Xenopus tropicalis: one gene and its partners. The protein of the gene in region 1 purifies or fractionates together with the protein of each later gene. This does not show direct contact. Links are inferred from orthologs where the notes say so. Each region holds a gene or a part of one and is shown in the gene's direction. Other genes may lie near its edges. The genes, in order: vti1a, stx6 and vamp4.

Region 1 (4,204 bases):
GGAATGGGAATGGGGCAGATAGAATGGTGGGGCTATGAATGGGAATGGCAAGGGGCAGATAGAATGGTACTGCACTGTACAGTACTGCAGATTTATTGATGACATTTCACTGTTTGAGTCCCATTTATATATAAAGCCCCAGCGCTGTGGGAATTGTTGGGGCTCCGGGAGTGCTGAGGAAATGGTCGGAGGTAACAAAGTTCAGAGATGTGACTGTTGGGAGTTGTGGGGAGGTGCTGGGAGGGTGCGGGGAGTTGCTGGAGGTGTGGGGAGTTGCTGGGAGGTGGGGAGTTGCTGGGAGGGTGCGGGGAGTTGCTGGGAGGGGGCGGGGAGTTGCTGGGAGGGTGCTGGGAGTTGCTGGGAGGGTGCTGGGAGTTGCTGGGAGGTGCGGGAGTTGCTGGCTGCGGGGAGTTGCTGGGAGGGGCGGGGAGTTGCTGGGAGGGTGCTGGAGTTGCGGGAGGGAGGAGTTGCTGGGAGGGTGCGGGAAGTTGCTGGAGGGTGGGATTGCTGGGAGGGGCGGGGAGTTGCTGGGAGGGGGGGGAGTTGCTGGGAGGTGCTGGGAGTTGCTGGGAGGGGGCAGGGAGTTGCTGGGAGGCTGGGAGTTGCTGGGAGGGGGCGGGGAGTTGCTGGGAGGGTGCTGGGAGTTGCTGGGAGGGGTGGGGAGTTGCTGGGAGGCAGGAGTTGCTGCTGGAGGGTTGCTGGGAGTTGCTGGGAGGGCGGGGAGTTGCTGGGAGGGCGGCGGGGATGCTGGGAGGGCTGGGAGGCTGGGAGGGGGGGGAGTGCGGAGGGGGCGGGGAGTTGCTGGGAGGGGGCAGGGAGTTGCTGGGAGTTGTAGATGACTGACAGTCAGGGGGCTGCTTCCGCCATGCAGACAATCCTGGGGACAAACGCCCTCACCCTATAACCCAGCCCTGAGCAACAGTCTATTCCGCAGTTTTGTACTGTAAATTTAACATTTTATAATAAAGACTTAATTATTGCCTTTGCTGGGCTAAAGAGCTTGCAATCACTGGGCCGCAGCCTCAGGACATGGTGGAATGAAGGTAAATAAGTGCTGGGCCGGGGAACCTGCTGAAGGTAAGACTTTCCCCCATTAGGGGCTCAGTATTGGGGCAGAACAGGTGGATTTGCCCCAGTCACTAAGTGTAAGGGCAGAAGGAGGGGCGGAAGGCTCATTGGGCTCCTCCCAGGGGCGGGACATAGCTTGATAGACGGCAGATCTCAGCCACACAGCGTGTAAATACGAAAGCCCCGCCCCGGAAGGCGTGGTCTCACTGAGGGACGGATCCCACTCAATGATAAAGTGGTGACACAGGCTCCTCCCAGGGGCGGGTCTGTTACCCAGGAAGTGCTGGTTGCTAAGGGCGCGGGGGAGTGCTGAAGGTTCGGACCGGCGGAAGTGGTTGGAAAAAAGACTTCCGGTTATCAGCTCTCCACTGTTTTGGCTAAACATGTCTTCCGACTTCGAGGGTTACGAGCAGGATTATGCGGTGCTCACCGCCGAGATTACCGGCAGGATAGGGAAGGTTCCCAGGCTCATGGGAGGTGAGAGGGGCGGGGGTGGGGGCAAGAGAGTGGGGTATGGGGGGCAAGGGGCGGGTATGGGGGGGGGAATAACAAGTGTCAGGGGCGGGAAGCTAGTGGGGAGACATGGGAGGGGGCCACAGGGGGTCAGACATGGGAGGGGCACAGGGGTCAGACATGGAGGGGGCACAGGGGGTCAGACAATGGGAGGGGCACAGGGGGTCAGACATGGGAGGGGCACAGGGGCAGACATGGGAGGGGGCACAGGGGGGGACAGGGGCACAGGGGGCATGGGAGGGGCACAGGGGGCAGACATGGGGGGCACAGGGGGCAGACATGGGAAGGGGCACAGGGGGGCAGACATGGGAGGGGGCACAGGGGGTCAGACATGGGCACAGGGGTCAGCAGGGGGGCACAGAGGGGTCAGACATGGAGGGGCACAGGGGGTCAGACATGGGAGGGGCACAGGGGTCAGACATGGGAGGGGCACAGGGGGGCAGACATGGGAGGGGGGGGACATGGGAGGGGGCACAGGGGGTCAGACATGGAAGGGGGCACAGGGGGTCAGACATGGGAGGGGCACAGGGGGGAGACATGGGCACAGGGGGTCAGACATGGGAGGGGGCACAGGGGTCAGACATGGGAAGGGGCACAGGGGTCAGACATGGGAGGGGGCAACAGGGGGGCAGACCACAGGGGTCAGACATGGGCAGGGGGGCAGACATGGGAGGGGGCACAGGGGGTCAGACATGGGAGGGGGCACAGGGGGTCAGACATGGAAGGGGCACAGGGGTGGGCACAGACATGGGAGGGCAGGGGTCAGACGCACAGGGGTTGGGCACAGGGGGCACATGGGGGGGCACACAGACATAGGGGCAGACATGGGGGCACAGGGGTCAGACATGGGCACAGGGGTCAGACATGGGAGGGGGCACAGGGGGTCAGACATGGAAGGGGCACAGGGGGTCAGACATGGGAGGGGGCACAGGGGGTCAGACATGGAAGGGGCACAGGGGTCAGACAGGGAAGGGGCACAGGGGGTCAGACATGGGAGGGGCACAGGGGTCAGACATGGGAGGGGCACGGGGTCAGACATGGGAGGGGCACAGGGGGGCACAGGGGTCACATGAGGGGGCACAGGGGGTCAGACTGGGAGGGGCACAGGGGGTCAGACATGGGAAGGGGCACAGGGGGCAGGGAGGGGCACAGGGGGGGCAGACATGACATGGGAGGGGGCAGACATGGGCACAGGGGGTCAGACATGGGTCAGACATGGGAGGGGGCACAGGGGGTCAGACATGGGAAGGGGCACAGGGGTCAGACATGGGAGGGGCACAGGGGTCAGACATGGGAAGGGGCACAGGGGGTCAGACATGGGAAGGGGCACAGGGGGTCAGACATGAGGAGGGGGGCACAGGGGGTCAGACATGGAAGGGGCACAGGGGGGTCAGAACATGGGAGGGGGCACAGGGGGTCAGACATGGGAGGGGGCACAGGGGGGCAGACATGGGAGGGGCACAGGGGGAGGACATGGGAAGGGGCACAGGGGTCAGACATGGGAGGGGGGCACAGGGGGTCAGACATGGAGGGGGCACAGGGGGTCAGATGGAAGGGGCACAGGGGGTCAGACATGGGAGGGGCACAGGGGTCAGACATGGGAGGGGGCACAGGGGGTCAGACATGGGAGGGGGCACAGGGGTCAGGACATGGGAGGGGGCACAGGGGGTCAACATGGGAGGGGCACAGGGGGTCAGACATGGGAGGGGGCACAGGGGGTCAGACATGGGAGGGGGCACAGGGGGGCAGACATGGGAGGGGGCACAGGGGGGGCAGGAAAGTGGATGTGTGGGAGGGAGAGGAGGGGATATGAGGATAGAAAGGGCAGGTGGGGGTGTAAATGTGATGACCTGATTCTGCCCCACCCTATAATTACCCTGTGTGCCCCAATACTGCCTCGGCCTGTAGCCTGTGAGTAGGGGGGGCCCCATGTAAATGTTGGCCCATAAAAGAGGTCTGGAACCCAGTGGGTAAGGGCCCCTAGTTCCCCTGTCCCTGTGGTTTTCCCAAAGTGTAAATATAATGTATAATCACTATAAAGTGTATATATAGCGAGTGCCCACACTGCCCCAGTATCCCCAGCATCGTGCTGTATAAATACAGATCCTGCGCAGGTACCTGCTAATAAAGGGGGACCTGCTGCCTAAAGCTGACAATCTAGTAAGGGAAGGGGAGGCGCGGGGCTGGGCCCATAGCGGTACCTCTAACCTTGTTTAGGCTTTACTTCTCCTTTAAGCACAGTTAGGGCAGGATTCCTGCAGAGACTACAGGGGGGAATATCTGCCACTCATTCCATCAGGCTGTAACGTAATATTATTTTATTGTGTTTTATTTCCAGATGAAAAGAAGCAAATGATATTAAATGTAGAGAAGCAGCTGGAGGAAGCCCGGGAACTGGTAAGTAATATATATGTGTGTGTGTGTATATATATATATATAATATCTGACCCTACTTGGGCTAATGTGGCCCTATCCATACAGGGAACATGTAATACTCAGGTTATTAGAGGGCCCAGCACTTACATATTGGGGAGCCCAATGGCTAAAGAGTCTGTAATTCCAAAGGGTCATAATTGCCAGACCATAATGAGCCGCCCATCCAGCTAATGAGCCCCAATGTGGG
Region 2 (4,253 bases), on another chromosome or scaffold:
ACTCATATCCATGAGTCAATGCACTCCTCATCCCGACGGGATTTTTAAACCTGTTTGTAAGCTGCTGACAGCTTTTATCGGCCTGTGTATGGCCACCTTTACTTTAAACTACAGGACTCCTTACATGTCCAACATAAGTAAGTATGTTTCAGGGCATAAAAAAAAGTTTGTGAATTGATAAGGGGCCTTTAGGGTGGGCGTTGCAGAAGACATTGCAGACATTTCCTTCATGGGTATGATGTTTAGTGGAACTGTGTAATCTCAGTTTTATTGTGGCTGAAACCAACATGGGCAACGTTGGTAACGACTGGTAACAGAAACTGAAAACTGTACTGCAGGGACATAACCATAATGGTGCATGGCAATAGAAGTTGGTTTGATGCACTGTAGGAGCAATTTGCTGAGGACAGAAATACATTATTTAGCTGCACCAAGCACTTTAGGAGCAATTGTGGGTGTCATATGTGCTGTGAGCATAGCAAGGAGACTATAACATCTTGCAAGTGCAATACGGCTTGACAATAATGTAAGAACTGTATAGGACTGTGTTATGTAGTTCATTGGATAGACAAATAATTCAGGAGACACTAAGAGATATACTATAGGGCAGGGGTCCTCAGCCATTCTTACTCGTGATCTCAGATACTAAGATCTATGTATGCCATCTTTGAAACCACAGCTGCTCTTTTTCATTTCCAAAACATAAACAAAAGGCTAAGCAACAATATAAATATATACATTTTTCACAAATCTGTATATAATTAAAGTTAAAAGTATTAAGGCAGTTCTGATGGTTCTATAAGAATATCAATAGATGGAAATACTCAAACTCTAATAACTAGCACTGTTACAGAACATATGAGAGCTCTAGAATTCTGTTACAGAGCTCGGTCCCACAAGAGCAGAACGTGCTAAATGAAATGGTTGCTATGGACAATGTGACAATGCTACAGAGCATTCTGTGTAATATAATAGGGCAGAAAAGGTACCTAGCCATGTGGTTGGGAGGCTACATCACAAGCGCAGGTAAAGGCACAGCACCAGCCCTCTCTGGACAGTACAGCTTGTCGCCCCTCCCCCTCCAGTATCTGCACAAATAAGAGAGAAGCTTTGCTTGTTTGCCCTCACCTAAAAGGTTTTGTACGCTCACACTTAGGGACTGGTAACGTGGGTGTAACAACACATTGAGATCTGCGAGATAAACAAAACAATGCATCGTTGTACTGTGATTTCTCCTGTTTCCTGTCAGCTGGTACAGAGAACTGAGTGCCGGATGTGACGCTTTTGACGGGAGGGGCATGCTTTGTGTTCTATGGTACACTGAATAATAGGGAACAAGGAGGCTCTGGGAAGTATCGGTTAACCCTAGGGTAGGCACAGGTAGTGCCAGTGGGAGCGGAAAGATGTCGATGGAAGATCCGTTCTTCGTTGTGAGAGGGTAAGTACAGTCCTGGGGACAATGCTCAGAGATAACGGGACTCGGGCAGGCAGTGAGTATGAATGTGTGGGATGGAGCGCTGTTCTGCTATCCTGCCAGTACAAACATGGCTGCCTGCAATTCTGCTATCAGGGTTGTGGTCAATGTTCCCCATAATTTATTTTAGTCCGTGTGCTCAAAAAATGTATTTTGTGCAACTTTTAAGGACTAGTGTACTAATGTGTGCACTGCATCCTACTCGCATGCATTACATTTTTTTTATTAAATCACCTTACTTTTGCATAGACTGCACAGACACAATGTTCCCAGTGAGTAGACACTTGGATTGTATTTTTAAAGGAGAACTAACCTGAAAAATTCCTGACGGATAGTACAAACATATGCTGGAATAGTTTTATGGTATTTCTCAGCACAAGCTATAAGCAAGCTTAGGGGGCTGTTCCTGCTGAATTGTGCTTAGTACAGGGGAATCCCTATGCTGCCATAGTTTTATATTTTATGGTATTTCTCTGTACAGGCTATTGGCAAACTTAGGGCGTTGTTTTTGCAGAGTTGAACTTCAGAAAGCTGAAATAATAATAATCACTAGCAAGCAACTGTACAGTTTACTTTGATAGATGAGGCTGCATCACAAGCACGGGTAAAAGCACACTGCCAGTACTTGACTGCTACACAGCTCCAGCTCCCCCTTTTCGTTTTTGGAGTGTGGGAATAAACCTGGTAAACATAGAAACTTCACACAGAAAGTGCTTAGCCTTGTTGCCAATATGGTGGTGCATTTTTATGACCCTTTGTGGTATCTATTTACAGTCACACCAGTGGCACATTCTAATGAACCCTAGAGTCATGGCACCTGGCACTGACTGGCCCGCCTGCATGTCTTCTTACCTCACTTGTTTGAACTCTGGAACTTGTTGCATCAGATAGAGCCATGCTGGTTGGCAGGTCACAGTGTGTAGCTGGAGCCCAGCACTTAATTACACACAAGGAGACTAGTAGCTAATACTTGTTAGAAGGTAAACATACTTATCACGTATTGGATAAGTGGGAGGCTAAATACCATCGTATACTATCGTTTATCGCTATTGTATACTTGAAAACATGCTGGGGCCTAGTTTCCATCTTAGGGAGGTGGCAGACAGGATGATTAGTCGCCCGCGATAAAGCTTTGCTACCATGGGCAACTTATGTCCCAAAATGGCATCTCACAGGCAAGGATGTAAATTGCCGGTGGGATGGCATATGCATTGCTTCGGTTTTCCAGTGTCACGGCTACAAAATGCCAGAAAATACCCTACCATAGACAATGCTAAGAACTGTCTCTGCTAAAACACACGAACAGACAGTTATTAATATTGGCTATTTTGTAGCCACTGCAAGTAGCTCCATTGCCAATAGGCTAATGCCACATGGGGGCTGATCTTTGTCTGCAGCCAGAACGATTGCATTTACCCGGGTCCAGGCACACGCAGTGGATATATCGGCGCCCAACCACCCTATAGTTTGCATTTTGCAGTGAATATCCGTCATTCTGACACAATAGTTCTGTGTGCAGGCAAAGAAGAAAGCTAATGTCAGCATTGGGGCTGATTCTTGGCCTGTGCTTTTCTGCAGGCTGAGATCAGCCCGTGTGGCATTACTCTCGTGCCTGAATACACATCACACCAATAGCATTTTAAAAAATCATGGATTAGGCGGAACATTTGGTATGAATATGTGGTACTGAAAAAAATGCATATTTTTCTCGTGTTTTTATGCTGATATCTTCATCATATTCATTCAGAGCTATAATTCCAAGCTACATTCAAACCAACGGGAACATCATTATGTGCTTGAATGGATTCCCAAGAGTTGTCTAGAATTCTGGACTTGCTGCAGTTACACTCGAGAAAAGTTTGTTGCTGTTAATATCTAAAAACAAACAAAAAGCCACAAGCTCTACAACAGTGCCATCCAATTAAATGACGTGGGCCAATTATTTCTTATACAGCATGTTTGAGGACCAGATTAAATTAAAATTATGATGTTGTATAATGAAGTATATGAAACCTTTGAGCTAACTGAGGGTCATATAATCCTTTGGCTAGCGGGCCTCCACTTTTACAGGCCAATTCCTTGGCATTTCTCATACAGGAGAAGAGTTTTCATTGCAATAGACAGAATATCTTTAGATTCAGAGCTTCCATATACTTTGATGTCCTGCCTGGCAATTGTTGACCCCCTAGGCAGTCCCTGTGGTCCCTGCCAAGCATTAAATTAAGTAAGATTCTGTTTTTGCATTGGTTATGCGCATAGTGAATGGTGACAGGGGTGGATCCAGCTGCAAGGAAGCTTAGCCAAGGCTTGTGCAGTGTGTGACTGTTACACATGGAAAAGCGTACACCAATCCTGTGCAAGAGAGAGACACATTACCACAGAATTGTTGGTCTTTATTGCCCTTTGACGGTTTAACACTAATGTTAAAATTCTGAAGAATTACAATGTCGCAGATGACCTACATCTGCTTTTTCCAGTAACTATCACCTGATCTTTTGTTAAAGGGAAGTACAAAAAGCGGTGAACACTGCCCAGGGCCTGTTTCAGCGATGGACAGATCTTTTGCAGGATCCTTCTATTTCTACACGAGAAGAACTGGACTGGACAACCAATGAATTGCGCAACAACCTTAGGAGTATCGAATGGGATCTGGAAGACCTGGATGAAACAATTAATATCCTTTTTACGCTTAGAGTTTTGCTTATGGTCACTCTTCACCATATTCTCTTGCAGATGAGGCTGTTACAGCAACAAAGGGAGGGCCAACTTCATATTAATA
Region 3 (3,649 bases), on another chromosome or scaffold:
GAGAGTTTGGGGTGCTTTGGAGCTGTGTTGGGGCTCCTTACAAAAGCATTGTTCAAAACACCTAAAACAGCCCCTTGTGCCATTAGACTTAATAGTATAAACTATAGTATAGTTATATAGTATAGTTCTAGTTTGATTTTCTAATAACATCTTTTTTTTTCTCTCTCTCTTTCTACTGCAAAGGCTGACTGCTATACAAATACATTGCCCTCACTGATCATTGTCATAAAACACAAATTCACATCAAAGGAAACCCAGTATGCCTCCAAAGTTCAAGAGGCACCTCCACGATGAGGAGGTTACAGGTTCAGTTAAAAGTGAAAGGGTAAGTCTTTTTTTTTATATTCAATGTTGTCTATCACGTAGAATGCTCAGCTTGTTTTCCAAGTCACGTTAATAGAAAATAGTGTATATACTGAATTTAATTGACCAGGGCTACAAAGAGATGATGTTTCCATTGGCAAACAGAAAAAAGCAGAGTTCAGTCAGTGTTTAGGCTGGTGGTGGGCAGGCAGACTTATTGGTGGGTGAACCACATAACATCACAGATGATGGTTTTTCTAAGAGGAAACTGTCAGCTCAAGTCACCAACCAAATGAATGCAACTGATGGTCCATTAAATTGCAGTCACTTACAAAAGTGTGCATCCCCTTCAATGGGCTAAAGAATGATGGCTTCCTCAAAAGCAAGGCATGAATCCATTCTTGATGGGGAAAATCAGAAATCCTATATTTTGTTAGAGAGTTTATTTTGACTTTGAAAGATGGTTTCCAATACATCTATATCATTGTTTTTATTAGAGTAGAAATTTCTAATCCTTTTTTTTTATTTTCAGAGGAATCTGTTGGAAGAAGACTCAGATGAAGAAGAAGATTTCTTCCTGTAAGTTTTTTTTTATGGTCTTATAAATATATATAATTACAATTACAGCACAAATCTTGTAAACTAAAAAGTAACATGTCATATATATATCTCAGATTTGTTTCCTGGCATTGGCCAGTGTTCCAGTGATGAGGCAATTCTGCAAGCCAGTATGCTGGATACAATTTTCAAATACATGACAGTAGTGTTTTTGGGGGTATTTTGACAGAGAAAAAAAACATATAGGGCATAATCTACTAGTATCTTGTTTGTGTCCTGTGAGTTGATTGTCACTGTGTCACAATGGAGTATAATTAATCAATATGCAACAAAAAAATATGAATTCATTATCACCGTTTTTATTTATTCCCAATATATTAAGTTGGATTCATTCGTAGGGATGCATCGAATCCAGGATTCAGTTTGGGATTCAGCCAAATCCACGCTCCTGGCCAAACCAAATTCGAATCCTAAAAACCATGTGACTTTTTGTCACGTAAACACGTTTACGTTTACTGTGCAAACCTAATTTGCATATGCACATTTGGATTTGGTTTGGTATTTGGCCGAATCTTTTACGAAGGATTCGGGGTTCGGCTGAATTCGAATAAAATGGATTGGGTGCATCTCTAATTATTAGGCATATGGTACTAGTCAGGAATGATAGATTAGTAATATCACAGTAACCCCTATATCTAAACTGGGAAGTGATGCAGTGATTTGTGGCAATTCCAGGTACATTACAATCTTTTACATCTACAATCTTTTAGTATACTACATCAACAAGGACACTCGGATTTGTGTAATTTTAGAGGTTTTTTTTCAACCTTGACTAAACTCACATTTTTAAAAATAAAGATCCCTTATTTATTAAAAAAAAATCTAAAAACAAAAACGTGGATTAAATAGGAATACAAAAGAAATACAATTTGATAAGGACAACTCCCATTGACTTCAATATGACCATGCCAGCTTTTAGATCGCAAAGTTTTTCATGGTTTTATACTTGATAAATAATAAAAAAAAAAATCAGTGTTCTAGAGTAATTATCTTTGTAAGTAGAACTGGTTTTAAAGGGGTTGTTCGCCTTTAAATTAACTTTTAGTATGATGTAGAGCAGGGATTCCCAAACCTTTCTTGCTTGTGAGCCACAGTCAAATGTTAAAAGACTTGGAGAAAAGTTCATGGAGGAGCCAAATAAGGGCTAAGATTGGCTATTAGGGGCCTCTATGCACACTATCAGCTTACAGGGGGCTTTATTTGGTAGGAAATATTGTTTTTATTTAACCAAAACTTGCCCCCAAGTCAGGAATTTAAAAATAACTACCTGGTTTGGGGGTGCAGAGAGCAACATCCAAGGGGTTGGGGAGCAACATGTGACCCCTGAGCCACTGGTTGGGGATCACTGATGTAGAGGATGCTACTCTGAGACAATTTGCAATTGGTCTTGCAAGTTTTTATTATTTGTGTTTTTTTTAATTATTTCGTGTTTTGTTCAGCGGCTTTCCAGTTTGGGAATTTCAGCAGCTATCTGGTTGCTATGGTCCAATTTAACCCAGCAACCAGACAGTGGTTTGAAAGAGGAATATGAATCGAAGAGGGCCTAAATAAAAAAATAAGTTATAAATTACAAAGTAAAGTAACAATAGAAATAAAATTGTAGCCTCACAGATGAATAGCTTTTTGATTTTAAAAGTTGGAAAGAGTTAGAAGAGGAAAGCAAATCATTCAAAGGCTATAAAAAATGAAGATAAATTGAAAAGTTGCTAAGAATAGGCCATTCTATAACATACTAAAAGTTAACCTGAAAGTGAACCACCCCTTTGAGGAAAATGTGTGTTCAGTTGACCCTACCCATACCGTTACTGTAATGGAGCATACATTTAAGTAATACATCCTGGAACAAAATCCAAAAAAGGCGTGGGAGGAAAAAGCAAAACAAATGAAAGCTTACACATAGCCGAGTCATGTCGGCATCTAAGTCTGTGAAGGTAAATAATTTGTTTATGGGAAGTGGGTGCTAGTGGGGCTCTCCTTACAGTGTGTGCAGGACAAAAAGTCTGTCTTAAGAAGACGAAGATCCATAAAGCATTTTTGTGGCTGGTAAAGGTAGTTGCAATTTAAACCGGTGTTTTGTCCTGTTCTTTTTTTTTTTTTATCCCTTTTTGATCCCTGAGTATGCTTTTTAAAATAATGTAACAGGTCTTTCTCATCTGGTCTTTTAGTCAGCTGCCTTTCAAAGTTGTGTAGATTTAGAGCCCCCACTGCAGAGAATATAAACAGCCAGGCAGCAAGATACAATATTTAATAACAGTAACATTCACAAGTAGTTTTTCTAATTGAATGTATACTGGAAAGTTGCTTAGAATTATATTTTCTTTCACTATTCATTTTGAGTTGACAACCCCTTTAATTTGCTCTGATGTGTCTGACATGATGCAAAAACCACATTGAGGATAAATCACCATAACCTCTAGAAATATTTCATACCCTGTTCAGTGAGATCTATTAGAATGTCGTCATGGTGTTTTATTGCTTACAATGGGTGACTGTCATGAAAAGTTTTAAAAGATTGCCAAAGATTAATAAACCATATTCTTTGTGTGTGTGTTTTTTTTAAATGGAAATGCTGTCACTTTTATTCATATTCCATATTAAAATTCAAGTACAAAAGTTGATTAAATTATCAGACCGGTTGGGGCTAGTGCTAATTATCTGGTATGTTTTTTAGATTATACAAATTTGTCCAAGTGCTTGTATAATACGTTAAAGTAAACTAAAAGGTATA

The links.
Region 2: the proteins of vti1a (region 1) and stx6 purify together in Homo sapiens (affinity purification with mass spectrometry; 3 studies listed by BioGRID and IntAct, counting the BioPlex papers as one, with this or other methods). This does not show direct contact. The link is inferred for Xenopus tropicalis from reciprocal best matches to the Homo sapiens genes VTI1A and STX6.
Region 3: the proteins of vti1a (region 1) and vamp4 purify together in Homo sapiens (affinity purification with mass spectrometry; 4 studies listed by BioGRID and IntAct, counting the BioPlex papers as one, with this or other methods). This does not show direct contact. The link is inferred for Xenopus tropicalis from reciprocal best matches to the Homo sapiens genes VTI1A and VAMP4.

The regions. Positions count from the first base shown.
Region 1 is NC_030683.2:3,543,993-3,548,196, reverse strand, and holds the start of vti1a (vesicle transport through interaction with t-SNAREs homolog 1A), read left to right. Parts: upstream 1-1,310; 5' UTR 1,311-1,451; coding exon 1,452-1,545; intron 1,546-3,919; coding exon 3,920-3,978; intron 3,979-4,204. UniProt on the Homo sapiens protein: V-SNARE that mediates vesicle transport pathways through interactions with t-SNAREs on the target membrane. These interactions are proposed to mediate aspects of the specificity of vesicle trafficking and to promote fusion of the lipid bilayers.
Region 2 is NC_030680.2:100,853,884-100,858,136, forward strand, and holds the start of stx6 (syntaxin-6), read left to right. Parts: upstream 1-1,333; 5' UTR 1,334-1,403; coding exon 1,404-1,438; intron 1,439-3,978; coding exon 3,979-4,148; intron 4,149-4,253. UniProt on the Homo sapiens protein: SNARE promoting movement of transport vesicles to target membranes. Targets endosomes to the trans-Golgi network, and may therefore function in retrograde trafficking.
Region 3 is NC_030680.2:107,505,479-107,509,127, forward strand, and holds part of vamp4 (vesicle-associated membrane protein 4), read left to right. Parts: intron 1-183; 5' UTR 184-259; coding exon 260-325; intron 326-835; coding exon 836-882; intron 883-3,649. UniProt on the Homo sapiens protein: Involved in the pathway that functions to remove an inhibitor (probably synaptotagmin-4) of calcium-triggered exocytosis during the maturation of secretory granules.